Elephas maximus indicus: one gene and its partner. The protein of the gene in region 2 purifies or fractionates together with the protein of the main gene of each other region. This does not show direct contact. Links are inferred from orthologs where the notes say so. Each region holds a gene or a part of one and is shown on either strand. Other genes may lie near its edges.

Region 1 (8,081 bases), on a different chromosome or scaffold from region 2:
GTCACGGCAGGCAAGAAAAGAGGCATTTCAAATACCATAATACTGTCATTTAGGGGACAAAACCCCACATTTTAACATCTACATCTGATTTCTATGGGCCACAAAACCCAGTCAGATTGTTTGTATAGGTGTTTTTCCTTGTGTACAGAAATGGGAACCTCTTTGCATAAAATGTAAAATACACTATGTGTATACAGAATATTGAAGGTGCAGGAAATGATGGTCTACAGGCACACGTATTTGAACTCAGGGAACCATATCCACTGTCAATCAATCACTCCTTAAAAATCTGAGGTGATATGATTTGGTCATAACCTAATGCCTCATCCTACCTTCATTTGTTTCATCAGCTCAAACATCTGTTCTGGTGGAAGGCTGGCAACTGCTTTGCTAATGGACTCAGGGGCATCCTCAGGACTGATGGTCTCTCCATAAGGTGACTCAATGACAGGGGCACCGGTGCCAAGGCCTGGTCAGGAATAAAGTACAAGAAAGTTAAGGAGATAAGATAAAGGGCTAAATCACTTCAAGTATCTATTTTCCAGGGCTACCATAAGGACCAGTTGATAACTTAAAAATTCTCCGGAACTGTCAAATAAGTGATTTGCTAATCTTTTCTTTCTGTGGAGGCAAGTAACAGAGTGTATTTTCTGTTCTCAGAGGAAAAAGGGGACCATGATCACATAGATGGACAAAGTTAAACTAAGGTAGGAAACTAGGCATATGAACTTTTGACAAAACGCTGCACTAGCAAAAGGTTTAAACAGAAAAAAGATGTTAATTTAAAAATGGGATTTCTGGATCTATTACTTCACAGTAAAAAACACAAGAATGCCTTATTACCCCACCAGTTATAGATCTGACAATATAGTCATATGAGTGGCAAATGCTAACAACATGATTCGCACCTACTGATGGCTTGGTGAGCCTGAATAACTTCACCTCTAGCTGGAAATCAATTCCCCTCTTGGCAACTGAAGGACTCTCAATGTCAACTCTACCTTCTTTCTCAAAGATATTTACTTCCATAACTCAGGCTCCTCAAGTCAATCAAATAAAGAAATTGTGTCGCTAACTACTCCAGCATATTCTAGAATACACTCTAAATGGAAATTTTTCACTGTTACATTTTTACTAACCTGTATTTCATAAAACCTGAATTTATACTTACTCTTCAGCTCTTCTTTGTTCTTCTCACTAGCAGCATTATCTACTCTAAGTGCTCTACCACTGAATTCACGCCCATTCAGGTTCCGCATGGCACTCAGGGCCGTCTCCTGGTCTTGGTACTCACAGAAGCCATAACCTTTTGGTTTTCCTGTCTCTCTGTCATATACCAACCTGGTGAACAGAACCAAGTATCGGACACAAATGTTACAAATAATCGGACACAAATGTTACAAATACAGGGTTCTTGCTAGCATTTCCACTCTCTAATTTGGCCAACCATAGGATAAAACTTTACAATTCTGACTTTGCCTCACTAAAATCTTTTTAAGCATTTTTTTAAATGAAAAAAAAATATATATATCTCTTAGATAAGAATGCATGTGAATTGTATGGTATGTGAATTATACCTCAGTAAAGCTGCCCTAAAAAAAAAAAAGAATGCATGTAAAACATCACCAGTAAAAAAAAAAAAAACTTCTCATTATTCCTAATGGCCAAATTTGTGGCAATTTTTAAGAAGAAACCCCCTACTAAGAGGCAAAAGAAGGGGACCTCACCTGAAACTAACAACAGGTCCAACCTCAGAAAAGATGTCCTTTAACTGTTCTTCAGTAGCTTCATAAGGAATGTTCCCCACTAAGGAAAAAAATACGTGACATATTAAAATCCTGAGTTTGTAACCTAGGTCTTTAGTGAAAATGTAAACAGTACATTATCTACTTATATCACTGGGTATGTAACAATTGGCTCAAAATACAGTGTTCTTCAAATCCTTGCTCCACGGAACTCCTTCAGACGAGATTCCAATCTTATCTGCTGACAAAAATGAAGTAAACCACCGAGGAAACTCAATAAAAGGTGTACCAAACCAAATCCATTGCTGTCGAGTCGATTCCAACTCACAGCAACCCTATAGGACAGAGTAGAACTGCCCCATAGAGCTTCCAAGGAGAGCCTGTGGATTTGGACTGCTGACCTGTGGTTAGCAGCCGTAGCTCTTAACCACTACGCCACCGGGGTTTCCAAAAAAGGTGTAGGCACTCCTAAATGTTAGTTTTCAGACTTATATGACAAGTGTTAGATTTTCCTTAACTTCAGTGAAAATAAATACTAAGGCATAGGTATTTTCCTGAAAGTCTGCAAGTGTTATTTCTCACTATGAAAAATGGAGCTCTGGTGGTGCAGTGGTTAAGAGCTCAGCTGCTAACCAAAAGATCAGCAGTTTGAATCCACCAGCTGCTCCTTGGAAACCCTGTGAGGCAGTTCTACTCTGTCCTATAGGGTCGCTATGAGCCCAAATTTACTTGACAGCAATGAGTTTGGGTGTTGGTAACTACTGAAAATATAATTTTTATAACAAGCTCAAATGTCTGCATTTCCACACACACACACACACACTTAGGAAAGTCCAAGAATGCAGTGGAGTATATTTAAAAATTATTCTAAATTGTTTTGTCAAGTTCCTTTTCAAAAAGTGCTTTAAAATCACCACACATGCTTTGAAAAACAACTTATTTCGGCCGAAAAATTTACTCAGAATAGATTCAATCCTCTTCAGAATTCCTTCGACGAGGTCTTATTCATTCATTCATTCATTCATTCATTTATTTATAATCCACCTCAGGACACCAGGTGGCCGCTACCACTATGATGAACTGCAATGTTACCGGTAAAAAGCAGAGAAAGAAAATCCTTATCAGAGGGCGGAAAGTGGACATAGGGATCTACCCCCTCAGCATTTAATTTGCATTCTGGAATAGGGGGTGAGCAGGTAGTACGGGACAGTGAGGGACTGTCGCCATGCGCTCTCGCTTCCAGATAATAACTGAAGCTCGTGAAAGGAGAAACGCATAGAAGCTGAACGCTCGCCTAACTCCCTCAACAATATCGCAGAAAGGCTGCGGGACATCGCGGTACGGGAAGCATCTGTTTGCTTACAAATCTACCAGATTGACCGCCCACAGGATAAGCAGGTAGAGCTCGACGCCCGACCTATCACCGGCTCCGGTTCATGAGGTGGGAGAGTTGCAGGGGGCGTTCCTCGCCGTTCCCTGCCTCTTCCTGCCCTTCCCAGACGCTGGGCTCCACCGAATTCCTCTCACCGAACACAGAACGTAGTGAACGATCCACCGCAGGGTCCCTCACAGTCAAACCCGCCATCGCTCTCTTCAGGCGGCTTCCGGTGCGCTAAACACACTTCCGTACGGCGCGTGAGCCCAGCGCGGAACTCGCTTCCGTACGGCGCGTGAGCCGGAAGCTCCTGGGCCGGCGGACGCAGAGCCCGTCCCCAGGCGTCGTTCCGTCATCCGCAAGCTCTCGTTAGGGCCGTGAGTGGCACAACGCCTTCGTCGTCTGGCTACCGCCAGATAATATCGTTCTGGTCTAGATGGCGGATCCAGGCGACTTTGAAGGTTTTAGTCTGTAGAATTCTTGTTGTTACTCATTATCTCTTAAGTCGAGGTATCATCGACCACAATAAAGATGGCAGCAGCGGTTTTTACCATGGTAACAGGGAGCTCATTTACCAACAACCGGCACACTTTCATTTTAGTTCCGCCTTATTAAGGGAGGGAAATGCTTGCCCCGCCTCAGAAGCGTGTCTGCTGTCATTTTGCTAAAGTTGCGAGTGTACAGAGTGAGCTTAGGGAAGAGACTTTTGCCAGCGAAGAGAAGGAGGGGCGCTTAACGCCAAGTTGCCAAGATAGCTGAGGAGTTGGAGAGTTAAAAGGAGAACAGTCCCGTGTCTGCTCTCGTGTAGTCCCTGGGCTCTATATGCTTGGTGGTGGTAGGGGGCGAGGGGAGAGAACACTGACAGGCAGGGGATTGTAAACAACATAAAGCATCATTGACCATTGGTACCAAATTCTGGTGCTTGCGCTCCTGGAATATGGCATGCAGGACTAGTTGCCACCTCACAGGAAGACAGCCTGCCAGGGTTGGAGGAAGGAATCAAGAGCACTCTCTTTGACGGACTTTTTGTCCGAAAAAAGAAGGCAGAGATGCTAAAATATCTACAGAATTTGAGACAAGGACGTTTTATTAATCCCAGATAGATTAGAAGTGTGTGTGTGTGTGTGTGTGTGTGTAGATCCTTGCTTGAAGTATGAGGAATATTTGGTAAAAATAAATGAAGCTACTTTACACCGTGGAGCATGTCATTTAAAGTAATAATATGAGCCAAAATAAAAAGTTTTGGAAGAGTTCTCCCATGACTCCAGATTCCCACTTGCAATTACTGTGTGATCAAGAAAACACCTTGTGTTATAAAATAGTTCCAAACAAGATTTCAAAGAGCTTTGGCGAGCCATTGTCCCAGTGTGGTGAACTTTGTATAAATGCGTGTGTGGCTCAGTATCTTTCTCACCTAGTGTTTCCCAAACTTGAATGAGCAAAAGGCTCACCTTGGGTGCTGAAGAGTAGAAATTCCTGGATCTCCACCCCAGGCCTACGGAATGGGATTCTAGGGGAGGAATCTGAGAATAATTATTTTTAATCAACTGCCCTTGATTGTTAGGGTCAAGTAATTTGGACCGCATTGTACCTATTGAGGTAGCTTTATGGCAACATTTAATGATGCTTTCTTATAAAATTGCCCTTACATTAGTTTTCAACCTAGAACTACCCTTTTGTGGAGGAAGGTGCTTGGAAGTGTATCAGACTGGTTATTGTAATGGCTGAGGGAGTGCTATTACTTGTGGGGGGAGGGAACCAGAGATAATAGATGTATTTCTAAGTCCAGCACAGCCCTATACAATGAATCCCTCCCCCTACCTGATGCCAACTCTCTCCCCTTGAGAAACACTGAAAATTTAATACCCTTGTTAGTATCAGCAATACTAGACCAAAATGGATCCTGGATCTGAAGATCCTGTTGCATTGCTCGCATTGCATAGATAACTTATACTTCAGCCTTCTTATAACTGTGCAGGTGATACCAATGAATTAGTAATAATAAAAGCTAATACCAATTGAGATGTTTCAGCAAGCAGATGCTATGCTGTGAGTGCTCATTGTCTATGCCAAGAAATTTGGAAGACAGATACCTGGCCAACTGACTAGAAGACATCCATATTTATGGCTATTCCAAAGAAAGGTGATCCAACCAAATGCAGAAATTATCAAACAATAACATTAATATTGCACACAAGTAAAATTTTGCTGAAGGTAAGTCAAAAACGGTTGCAGCAGTACATCAACAAGGAACTGCCAGAAATTCAAGCTGGATTCAGAAGAGGATGTAGAATGAGGGATATCATTGCTGCTGTCAGATAAATCTTGGCTGAAAGCAGAGAATGCCACAAAGATTTTACCTGTGTTTTATTGACTATGCAAAGACTGTATGGATCATAACAAATTATGAATAACATTTTGGAGAATGGAAGTTCCGGAACACTTAATTGTGCTCATGAGGAACTGCAAAAATAGTGTGAGGACAGTGTCTAACCTCCTCAAATTTCACCAGGAGGAAGGAGAACCAAGATCAACAGTCCAAGGCTGATTCCTATGAGGTGGGGGTCAGGCATGCCTCCTCTCTCTGCCATCTTTACCAATTCTGACACCAACCATCCCTCCCACAAAACTCTCTACTTTTCTGCTGGGTTTGATAATTCAATGCAATGGCTACAAAGAACTCACAGACCATACTCATGATTATGGGGTTTATTTAGGAAGTAACAGATTATAATTCAGACTCAGGAAAACTCAAGGATACAGTTCTTCCATCAGGAAAGCCTCTTCCCAGCCATGTTCACATGCACACCTCTCCCTGTGCTAGGCCCCTGCCCAAAGGCGCTCAGCTTTCTCTCTCTGTGGGTCAGGAAGACCGTGGTGACATCTGCTGTGAGGTCTCTCCTTCCACTGCTTCTCTTCTGCCACCGCTTCTCACCATCTTCAGGGTTATAGCTCTCTCTCTCTCTCTCGGCTCCTGCTTCCGGGAGCTTCTCAGCACAGGGATCATGGGTCCAGAGCTGGCTCCTGGCTGTTCTTCCTTGGTGGCGCTGGGATCCTCTTTCCCGCCTTTGGAGTGGCTCATTTCAAGCCCAGCAGGATGGCAAAACTGACCAATTGCTTTGGAGGGCCACAATTACCCTATCACACAGTCCCACCCAATCACCTGGGTGGGAGTTATAAGACCATGGCAAGAAAGGCCACACAAAAGCAATCCATCATACTGCAGGAACATGTACACAGACCAAGAGGTATTCATTCAAACAGAACAGGGGGATGCTGATTGGTTTAAAATCAGGAAAGGCGTGTATCAGGCTTGTACCCTTTCACCATACTTATTCCATCCGTACGCTGAGCGAATACTCTGAGAAGCTGGACTATATGAAGAATGTGTGCGTGTAGGTCCTTGCTGTAGGATATATTCCTAGGAGTGGGACTGCACTATTTCTATTTCTAGCTTTTTAAGGTGGCGCCATATCTTTTTCCATAGTGGTTGTACCATTTTACATTCCCACCAGCAGTGCGTAAGAGTTCCAATCTCCCTGCAACTTCTCCAACATTTGTTATTTTCTGTTTTTTTTTTTTGTGCCAGTAATGTCGGGGTGAGATGGTATCTCATTGTAGTTTTGATTTGCATTTCTGTAATGGCTAATGATCATGAGCATTTCCTCATGTGTCTGTTAGCCAGGTGAATGTCTTCTTTGGTGAAGTGTCTGTTCATCTCCTTTGCCCATTTTTTAAATTGGGTTATTTGTTTTTTTGTTATTGAGGCATCGAAGTATTCTATAAATTTTAGTGATTAGACCCTTGTTGGATATGTCGTAGCCAAAAAATTTTTTCTAGTTTGAAGGTTCTCTTTTTACTCTTGATGAGCATAAGTGTTTAATTTTTAAGAGCTCCCAGTTTTCTAGATTATCTTGTGCTGCTTGTGCATTGTTAGTTATGGTTTATACTGAATTTATGCTATGTATTCGGGCCCTTAGTGTTTATTCGGGCCCTTAGTGTTGTCTCTATTTTTTCTTCCATGATCTTTATTGCTTTAGGTTCTATATTTAGGTCTTTGGCCCATTTTGGGTTAGTTTTTGTGTATGGCGTGAGGTATGGCCCTGTTTTCCTTTTTTTAACAGATGAACATCCAGTTTTGGCAGCACCGTTTGTTATAGACTGTCTTTTCCCCATTTAGTAGACTTTGGTCCTTTTATCAAAGATCAGCTGACCATAGGTGGATGGATTTACAACTGGCTTGTGAATTCTGTTCCATTCAAGTATATTTCTGTTGTTGGACGAGTCTCAGGCTGTTACGACTACCGTGGCTGTATAGTAGGTTCTGAAATCAGGTAGTGCGACGCCTCCTACGTTGTTCCTTTTCTTCAATAATGCATTATCTTCTGGGGCCTCTTTCCTTTCCATATAAACTTGGCGATTAGTTTTTTCATCTCCTTAAAGAATGCTATTGATATTTGGATCAGAATTGCATTATATCTGTAGATCGCTTTGGGTAAGATTGACATTTGAGTCTTCCTATTCATGAACATGGTATGTTTTTCCATTTATGTAGGTCTCTTTTGGTTTCTTGCAATGGTGTTTTGTAGTTTTCTTTGTATAGGCCTTTTACATCCCTGGTTAGATTTATTCCCAAGTATTTTATCTTTTTAGGGGCTATTATAAATGGTATTGCTTTCCTGATTTCATTTTTGAAGTTCTCTTTGTTGGTGTATAGGAATCCAACTGATTTTTGTATGTTGATCTTGTATCCTGCTAGTCTTTTGAGTCTTTCTATTAGTTCCAGAAGTTTTCTTGTCAAATCTTTGGGGTTCTCTATGTATAGGATCATATCATCTGCGAATAGGGAGAGTTTTATTTCTTTCTTTCCAATTTGGGTGCCCTTTATTTGTTTTTCTTGCCTTATTGTTCTAGCTAGGACTTCCAGCACAATGTTAAATAGGATGGTGATAAAGGGGATC
Region 2 (8,069 bases):
GGAAACTTTGGACCCAATTTCTATGAGGAACAGAGAAGAATTTTAAGATCCATTACTAAGTAGGAAAAGGACATGATACAGGTAATTGTGTATTTTAGGAAGATTATCTGGTGTAGATGAATGACTGAATAAGATACAGAAAGCAGGGAGATAAAAAGGGGGAATATTTAGCAGGCCACCTTCTCCTCTCGACTTTGCTGCTTCCATTTTGGGATTGTATTTCTTTAGCCTTAAATGTACCCATTGCTGTGGAGTCGATTCTAACTCACAGCAACCTTATAGAAGTGGAGACGGGCTTCCAAGGAGCAACTAGTGGATTTGAACTGCCGACCTTTTAGTTAGCAACCAAGCTCTTAAGCACTGAGCAACCAAGCCTCGTATGTACTTTTTTACAATTCTTTGACCTCAATTCATGAGTCATTATCTAAGCAACTGAGTCTTGAAACTCTATATCTTTTATTCCTCCCTTTACTTCTTCTTGGATAGTCTGTCATCAACCTCTGATTGTTTTTCCCCCCAAAATGCCTTGCACGTGTACCACTCCCTTCCCGTTCCTACTCTCAGTACCTTAATGCAGGGCCTCTCTACCTCACACTTAGGTTTCTCTGTTTCTCTGCCTCCAGCCTTTCCTCCCTTCATCTCTACCTAAACACTGCTGCCAATTAAACCTTCAGAAAGACTCCTGCACATACTACCCCTTGCTCAGAGATCTCTGAAGGCTTCTTACTGCTTGAAAAAAACAAAACTAATGCCTTAGCTGGCAACTGAGGACTTCAGCAAACTGCCCAGACATCGCTGCTCACCATCATCATCTCAAGGCCCAGATTCAATTCAATGGCAACGGGTTTGGTTTTTTACAGTTACCAATTTGCCCATCATTAGTCTTGACTAGTAGCTCTGTCCAACAGAAATATAACACAAGCGACATGCAGCTTAAGATTTTTTTCATAGCCACATTGAAAAGGAAAAGAAACAGGTGAAAGAGATTTGTTTACCCCAATATATTCAAAACATTATCATTTCCACATGTATTATTTAAAAATCATTAATGAAATATTTTACTTTTTTTGTTTTTGTCTTTACTGCCTTCAAAATCCAGTGTGTATTTATACTTACAGCACATCTCAATCTGAACCAACCACGTTTCTGGTGCTCAAAAGCTACCTACATATGCCTTCTGTCACAGAGCAGGTCTAGACTCTAGACACTGAAGTCAATGCCAGAGACTGCTGGGCACTGTTCTCCGCCACTGCTGAAGTGCAGGTCGGCACCGTTCTATTTTTATGTACACATTTTAGACTTGACTTTAATGGTATCACCAACGACTTAGGCTCACAGACTAAAACTCTGGAGTCACTCTCCTACCATCAAATTGACACTTCAGAAATGTCTCTTATATTCTTAATCAGAAAAAAATAACCCAAACCCGATGCTGCCGAGTCAATTCTGGACAGAGTAGTATAACTGCCCCGTAAGGTTTCCAGGGTGTAAATCTTTATGGACACACGATGCCACTTCTTTCTCCTTCAGAGTGGCTGGTGGGTTCAAACTGCTGACCTTTCAATTAGCAGCTGAGCGCTTAACCACTGTACCAGCAGGGCTCCTCATATTTTTACTGCCCTACAATTGAGGCATTTACTATTACCTTACCTGAATAACTGCAACTTTCTCTCATTTAGTTTCCCTGTTCCAGGTTGATCCTCCACACAACTGTCAGAGAGACTATCCTCAAAAACAAATATTTTCATGTCCCCTCCTTGCACAAAAGATCCATGGGATTCCTGTTAACTATTGAATAAAACCTAAAGTCCTAAGGTGGAAATCAAGGCCCTTCACGAATTGATAACCTACCTCTTCCTTCACCAACCACCCTTGAACTGCATGTTCAAGTACATTTATTGCCCCACTCTAAGTACCTAAAACTTCTCAAGTCTCTGTATCCCTGTACTTGTTACTTTTCCAGGAATGGCCTCCCCTGGAGTTTCAGAAATTCCTCTTGACCCCTCACCACAAAAGTGGAATATTAGCTCCTTGCCACCCAGGAAAGACTAGTTATTTTTACCTAGCACAAAGTAGGCACAAAAAACATTTGTTGAATGAAACTGAATGCACAGAGGAGTAAAAGTGTTTGTCTTTTCTCTCCAAGACCAAGCACAGTGCCCAAAACAACACAAATGTGCGCTAAAAGAATCCTCACAAGATCATAAATGCCTTCAGTGCTGTGAATTTGGTCGATACGACTTCATCCCAAATATGTATCAGTTACTTGCTCTCTCAATAACGACCTTGTATGCTGAAAATGACGACTAAGGGGAACTATGCAAAATCCACAGAAAAAAACAAAGGGGTGAGTTCGGGTTAGTACTGGAACTCATGGGGTGCGAAAGTCTCTTTCTGGTCAATTTCAGAAGAGCAGTGGCTTCACAACAGGATCAAAGGGACTGTAAATGAAAATCCAGGGGATAAGTAAATGGTAACTCAGGTGTGGCTGATCACAGGAGGCCAGACTTGCCCGTGACCTCCTGTTTTCTAAAGAGCATGTTAAAATCACACAAAGTCAAAAAGAATGAGGTCTTAAAATACTGAAATGATAGGAGTGAAAGCGGTCGGGGACGGTGGAGGGCCGAGACAATTAAGAAAGCGCAGTAATATCTTTAAGAACTTCGGAGTCAGTTAACTAAAAGGACGCCTACTTCGTGCCCAGTGCTTAGCAGACTCGTAGTCTCTCGTCCCGACACGACGGGAAGACTCCGAGCGAGGAGGCTGACAACACCGTAGCCACGCGGAGGAAGAGCTAACCGTGGCGCCGGATGAACGCCTCCAGCGCCCCAGACAGAGGAGAGGCAGCGCCAGAAGGAGGCACGGGAGTGAATGGCACAGCCTGACACAAAGGAGCCGCCACTTTCAGACCCACGAAGAAATCACTTCTCGTTCCCTCGCCGAGCGCTTCTGCCAGGAGCGACCAGGACTGGCTCAACCGAAACTCCGGGAGCACGTCCCCGAGGGAGGCTGGGTCGGAGTTGGGGCCAGGCTCTCCCTGAGGGCCGAGGACGCCCCCTCCCTCATCCAAAGGCTCACTCCTTTCTTTTGCCCTCACTTGCCTCGTCAGTCCTCCCCCAACGCCGTCCACTGCCCTTCCCAACCCCTAGTCGAATCCAGGTTCGAGAGCTAGAAAAAGTGGTGCCCGCTCAACAGCAACTGTGACGATCCGCCGACAGAAGCCCCTCAGCGGCGGCCGCCATCTTGGAACTGGAGGGGAACGGCTGAGGCCGGGGAGACTCAGGATTATACCATCTCTGGGGGGGGAACGAAACTCTAGGAAGGAGAAGGCACTTACACCAACAAGTCTCGTCACCTTGGGCTGAAATTCTATTTCAAAATTATTCATTATGTTTGAAAGCTGAAATAAATGTGAGAAGAGTCACATGCGAAAAGGAAGAAGGGGTATGACTTCCAGATGCTACCCCCTCTCTTCCGTGCGGAAGCGGGAAATGGTAGAGCCCGACGTTGCAGCTTCCGCCGGCGCAGGCTGCTGAGCTCGCGGCTGCCCTTGGTCTTGGGATCGTTGTTGGTACCGCAGGTGGGTGCGTGCCGGGTCACGGTTGTGCTATATCAGTAGGGGTGTCTTCTATGACAGCCCTTGGCGGTGATGGGGTTGGTGGTAGTGGGGTGGCTGAGTCTCTCCGGGGCGGGAGCGGCCGGGCTTCCGAGCGACGACCTCTTCTTCTGATGGACGCCTACGTTCACGTTCTCCGCCTGGCAGCTTTTGGAAGGGGAGCTCTGAGACTGTCATAAATGTCATAAAGGCCGGAAACGTCTTGAGAGATCACCCAGTGACCTCCCCCTCGCTGGCTGAAGACCGAAGCGGGCCAGGGTTCTATGCCGAGACGGAAGTACGGGTGGAGTGCCTCTGCGACCATCTCAGATTTGGCCATTGTCGTTAGTTAGGATTGGAAGCTGTTCTCACTCTCTTTCACAAAATAGGCACTTACCCTTTTACTTTTTAAAAACTCAGTATTTAATTTGCTTTTGGTTTCTAGGTTGTGTATGCCATTAAGATAGTGCTCCATATCTCGAGTTCACATTCTCGAGGTTAAGTCGGCACTTTGTGAATACTACATATAAAGGGCTGTAAAAACCAGTTAGAGAGTAGAATATTATTTCTTAAAAAATAAATATCTTTAGTGACATACAAAAAATACTAGATACAACTTTTGTTTTTAACCATAACCAAAACCAAACCTGTTGCCGTCGAGTCGCTTCTGACTCATAGCGACCATACAGGACAGGGTAGAACTGCCCCATAGGGTTTCCAAAGGAGCGGCGGGTGGATTCGAACTGCTGCCTTTTGGTTAGCAGCCAAACTCTTAACCACTGTGCCACCAGGGCTCCTTTGTTTTTCAAGAAGTGGGAATAAAATTGGGCTAAAGAAAAATGAGATAGAATGAAAAGTGTGGTTAATTAATACCAGTGCTTACCTCTATACTTACTCTAAGAGAAAATCTGCTTTATTGTAAAACACAAGTAAAGAGCATAGACACAAGAGCCAAAATGCCTGGGTACTAATCCCAGCTCTGCCACCTACTGCATCTGTGACCTTAGACAAGTTATTTTATCATTTGTCCTGGATTTCCTCATCCTAAAAAAACATAGGGAACAGTGTGGGTATTATATGAGTTAATACAAATATAGTGTTGTGATTATGAGCTGATGCATATGAAAAACAGTAAGAACTATGCCTGACACAGAGTGCTATAAAAAGAGTCTGCTATTGCTAGAACCCTTTGCTGTCCAATTGATTCTGACTCAGTGACAGAGTAGAGCTGCCCTGCAGGGAGCAGATGCTGTATTCAAACTGCTGGCCTTTTGGTTAGCAGCCATATTGCTAGAGATGGGCAAAAAAAACCCAAAAAACTGGATCATTTTGGTATGGAAGGATACATGATCAGGTACATGATTCCTGCAGTCCGTGAGATAAAAAAATTAATTTTTTTCGGGAAAGCCATAGCTATTTTCAGATCTGAAGTAAAAAAAAAAATGTTTTTCTTGAAGGTACTCATAAAAAAGACACTAATTTCTTGTACAGTGTAAGCATCTGGATAATATTAATGGTAAATACAATGGGTTACAGAGGCCTATATCTGATAATGTATGTTAATGTTGCCATATGACAGAATGACAGGTTGCAAATTAGTAAAAGCACATACACAGCTATGTCACAGGCACGTGTGTGGATGTCCCCTACAGCAATTGGTTCTTTATTTTCTCCCCTGAGTCATCCTACTGCTGATCCTCCCTTATCCAAAACCTGGGCTTGCCTCACTGGAGCCTGTTCCCAGTCCTCTTTGTCCCTTCTCCATCAGATCAAGCTCACTTATGTCTTGGGCCCAAGAACCGGAGCACCTGGCTCCCCTTCCCTACAGTCCACTTTCCATCGTTCTAGCTCACTTACGTCCATAAAGCTTTGTCATCTCTAGTTATCCACTCTCCATAAAACAAAGCGTGTTCAGTGCAACGACTCCCAAAGTCTACTAAATTCTAAACTGTACAATCAGAATAAAATGTCTTCCTCCAATCCTGAATCCCCATTCTTCTTCATATAGTCCAGCTTCTCTGGTTATTTGCCCAGCATAAAGAGTGAATAAATATGGTGAAAGCATACAACCCTGATACACCCAGATACCTTTGGCATCTGGGATTTCTAGAAGAGCCTAAATGCAGCAAGAGCCACAGAGCCTTGTCTTATCTCTTCTGCTGGGAGTAGAGCCAGACAAACCCAATTCCTTAGGGTCTGGTTTCCCTCCCCGAAAAAAAGTACCAGCCGTGATGGCTTATAGCCCACAGGTGACCATGGGCTTATTTTAGCCAGTCTTGGGCTAGGAGTTAACAAGTACTTTTTGTTGTTGGTTAAGTGCAGAATAATATCTAATAGTCAGCTGTGCTTAGGGTAGAATTGATACCTCTTTCAAGGTTACGTTATTTGACTAAGGTACATGTTGTTATCCCCATCGTTGATTGGCTCAATTTTATAAAGCAAGTAAGTTGAGACAGTAAGTACTTGGTGGGCACACTTGGTCGGTATCCACTAAAAAGTAAGTATTCATCAAAATAATATTTAGAGATCTAAATGCAGATAACACTATTTAGTGCAGGCACAATACCAAGAGAACCACCATCTTATAGAAATAAAGTCAGATTGGATACATTTACGTTTGTATGTCCAAGTACCACTTACATCAGAATCAGCTGGGGAATACTTTCAGCTACAGATATTTCCAGCCCCACCGTGGAGGTAGGGCCAAGGAATCCCTATTTTTGAAAATGGCTCTACATATGATGTGCAGGCAAGTTTGAGAACCCCAATTGTAGACAGTAAACTAAAAATATAAAAATAATTGGTGAGTAAATTATATGCTTTAATTATCTTGTAATTTACTTACCTCATAATTTTCTAGACCAGTGATATTCAAAGGAAACCATTGTGTAATACTGCCCTTTATGAAATATATAGTAATCGTATGACTTTAACTTCATGGTCATTTCCTAACCCAGTGCCTGGTACATAATGGGTATTTGATTAAAGTTTGAGAAATTAAAGAATTAGAATTGTATATGTGTGAGAACCACTGTCTTAGGAGAGGCAGGAAATTCCATCTACGTGATCCAAGCAAATTTAGTGCTAAGCACTTTTGTTGGCAGAAATGTACTACTACTCTGAATAAGGTTTTGTCATGTCTTCTCAACCATTGCATATGATTTATTCATTTTAGGCTATTTGCAAATGAACATATTTAAATTTCATCTTTATGTACAGAATTTTACCAAAAAATAACAATTGGACCATGTTGTTATTGAATTAGTATGCATTTATCTTCCATATGATGACAACTGGCTCCCCTATTCCTCCTCCTCTGCCTTTGGGAAACTCTTGGAACTTAAAATCAGTTCAGGGAGAGGCTTCTTAGAGAGGTAGTGCGATAATGTAGGAAGGAGCCAGAGCTTTGGAGAGGACTTGAATTTGAATTCACCTCTGCATTTAATAGCTGGGTTTAAGCTATTTGAGCCCCATTTTTCTTAGGTATAAAATAATAGTTATTTCACACTATATGTCTTGTTCTTGTTAGGTGCCTTCAAGTTGGTTCTGACTCATAGTGACCCTATGCACAACAGAATGAAATACTGGCTGGTCCTGTACCATCCTTATGATTGTTGTTATGCTTGAGCTCATTGTTGGAGCCACTGTGTCAGTCCACCTCGCTGAGGGCCTTCCTCTTTTCCACTGACCCTGTACTTTGCCGAACATGATATCCTTCTCCAGGGACTGATCCCTCCTGACAACATGTCCAAAAGTATGTAAGACACAGTCTCTCCAGCCTTGCTTCTAAGAAGCATTCTGGTTGTACTTCTTCCAAGACAGATTTGTTCATTCTTTTGGCAGTCCATGGTATATTCAATATTATTCACGAGAAATATTGAATATACTATATATCTAGAAATATGGAAACCCTGGTGGCACAGTGGTTAAGTGCTACAGCTGCTAATGAAAAGGTGGGCAGTTCGAATCCACCAGGTGCTCCTTGGAAACTCTATGGGGTAGTCCTACTCTGCCCTATAGGGTCACTGAGTCGGAATCAACAGCAATGAGTTTTTTTTTTTAATCTAGGAATATATCATGGCCCTGCTACCTAGTAGTCATTCTATAAAAATTAATTGCTTTTTCCCTTATCTGTTATAAAGCCACTTAGTAAATATTCAGATCTACTGTGGCATTGCTGAGTATGTATGTGTGTGTTTTCTATCTTTTCATTCCCTTTTAAAAATTAATTCTCGATAATTTATTAAAAACCTGTTGCCAAGGCTGGCATTAATCCAAAAAACACAAAATAATAAATGTTGGAGAGGCTGTGGAGAGATTGGAACTCTTATACACTGCTGGTGGGAATGTAAAATGGTACAACCGCTTTGGAAATCGATCTGGCATTTCCTTAAAAAGTTAGAAATAGAACTACCATACAACCCAGAAATCCCACTCCTCCGAATATATCCTAGAGAAATAAGAGCCTTTACAC

Evidence for each region.
Region 1: the proteins of CPSF2 (region 2) and CSTF2 purify together in Homo sapiens (affinity purification with western blotting; 3 studies listed by BioGRID and IntAct, with this or other methods). This does not show direct contact. The link is inferred for Elephas maximus indicus from reciprocal best matches to the Homo sapiens genes CPSF2 and CSTF2.

The regions. Positions count from the first base shown.
Region 1 is NC_064846.1:57,411,445-57,419,525, forward strand, and holds the start of CSTF2 (cleavage stimulation factor subunit 2), read right to left. Parts: upstream 3,388-8,081; 5' UTR 3,331-3,387; coding exon 3,273-3,330; intron 1,807-3,272; coding exon 1,728-1,806; intron 1,342-1,727; coding exon 1,172-1,341; intron 470-1,171; coding exon 333-469; intron 1-332. UniProt on the Homo sapiens protein: One of the multiple factors required for polyadenylation and 3'-end cleavage of mammalian pre-mRNAs. This subunit is directly involved in the binding to pre-mRNAs.
Region 2 is NC_064828.1:105,689,109-105,697,177, reverse strand, and holds the start of CPSF2 (cleavage and polyadenylation specificity factor subunit 2), read right to left. Parts: upstream 3,259-8,069; 5' UTR 2,694-3,258; intron 1-2,693. UniProt on the Homo sapiens protein: Component of the cleavage and polyadenylation specificity factor (CPSF) complex that play a key role in pre-mRNA 3'-end formation, recognizing the AAUAAA signal sequence and interacting with poly(A) polymerase and other factors to bring about cleavage and poly(A) addition.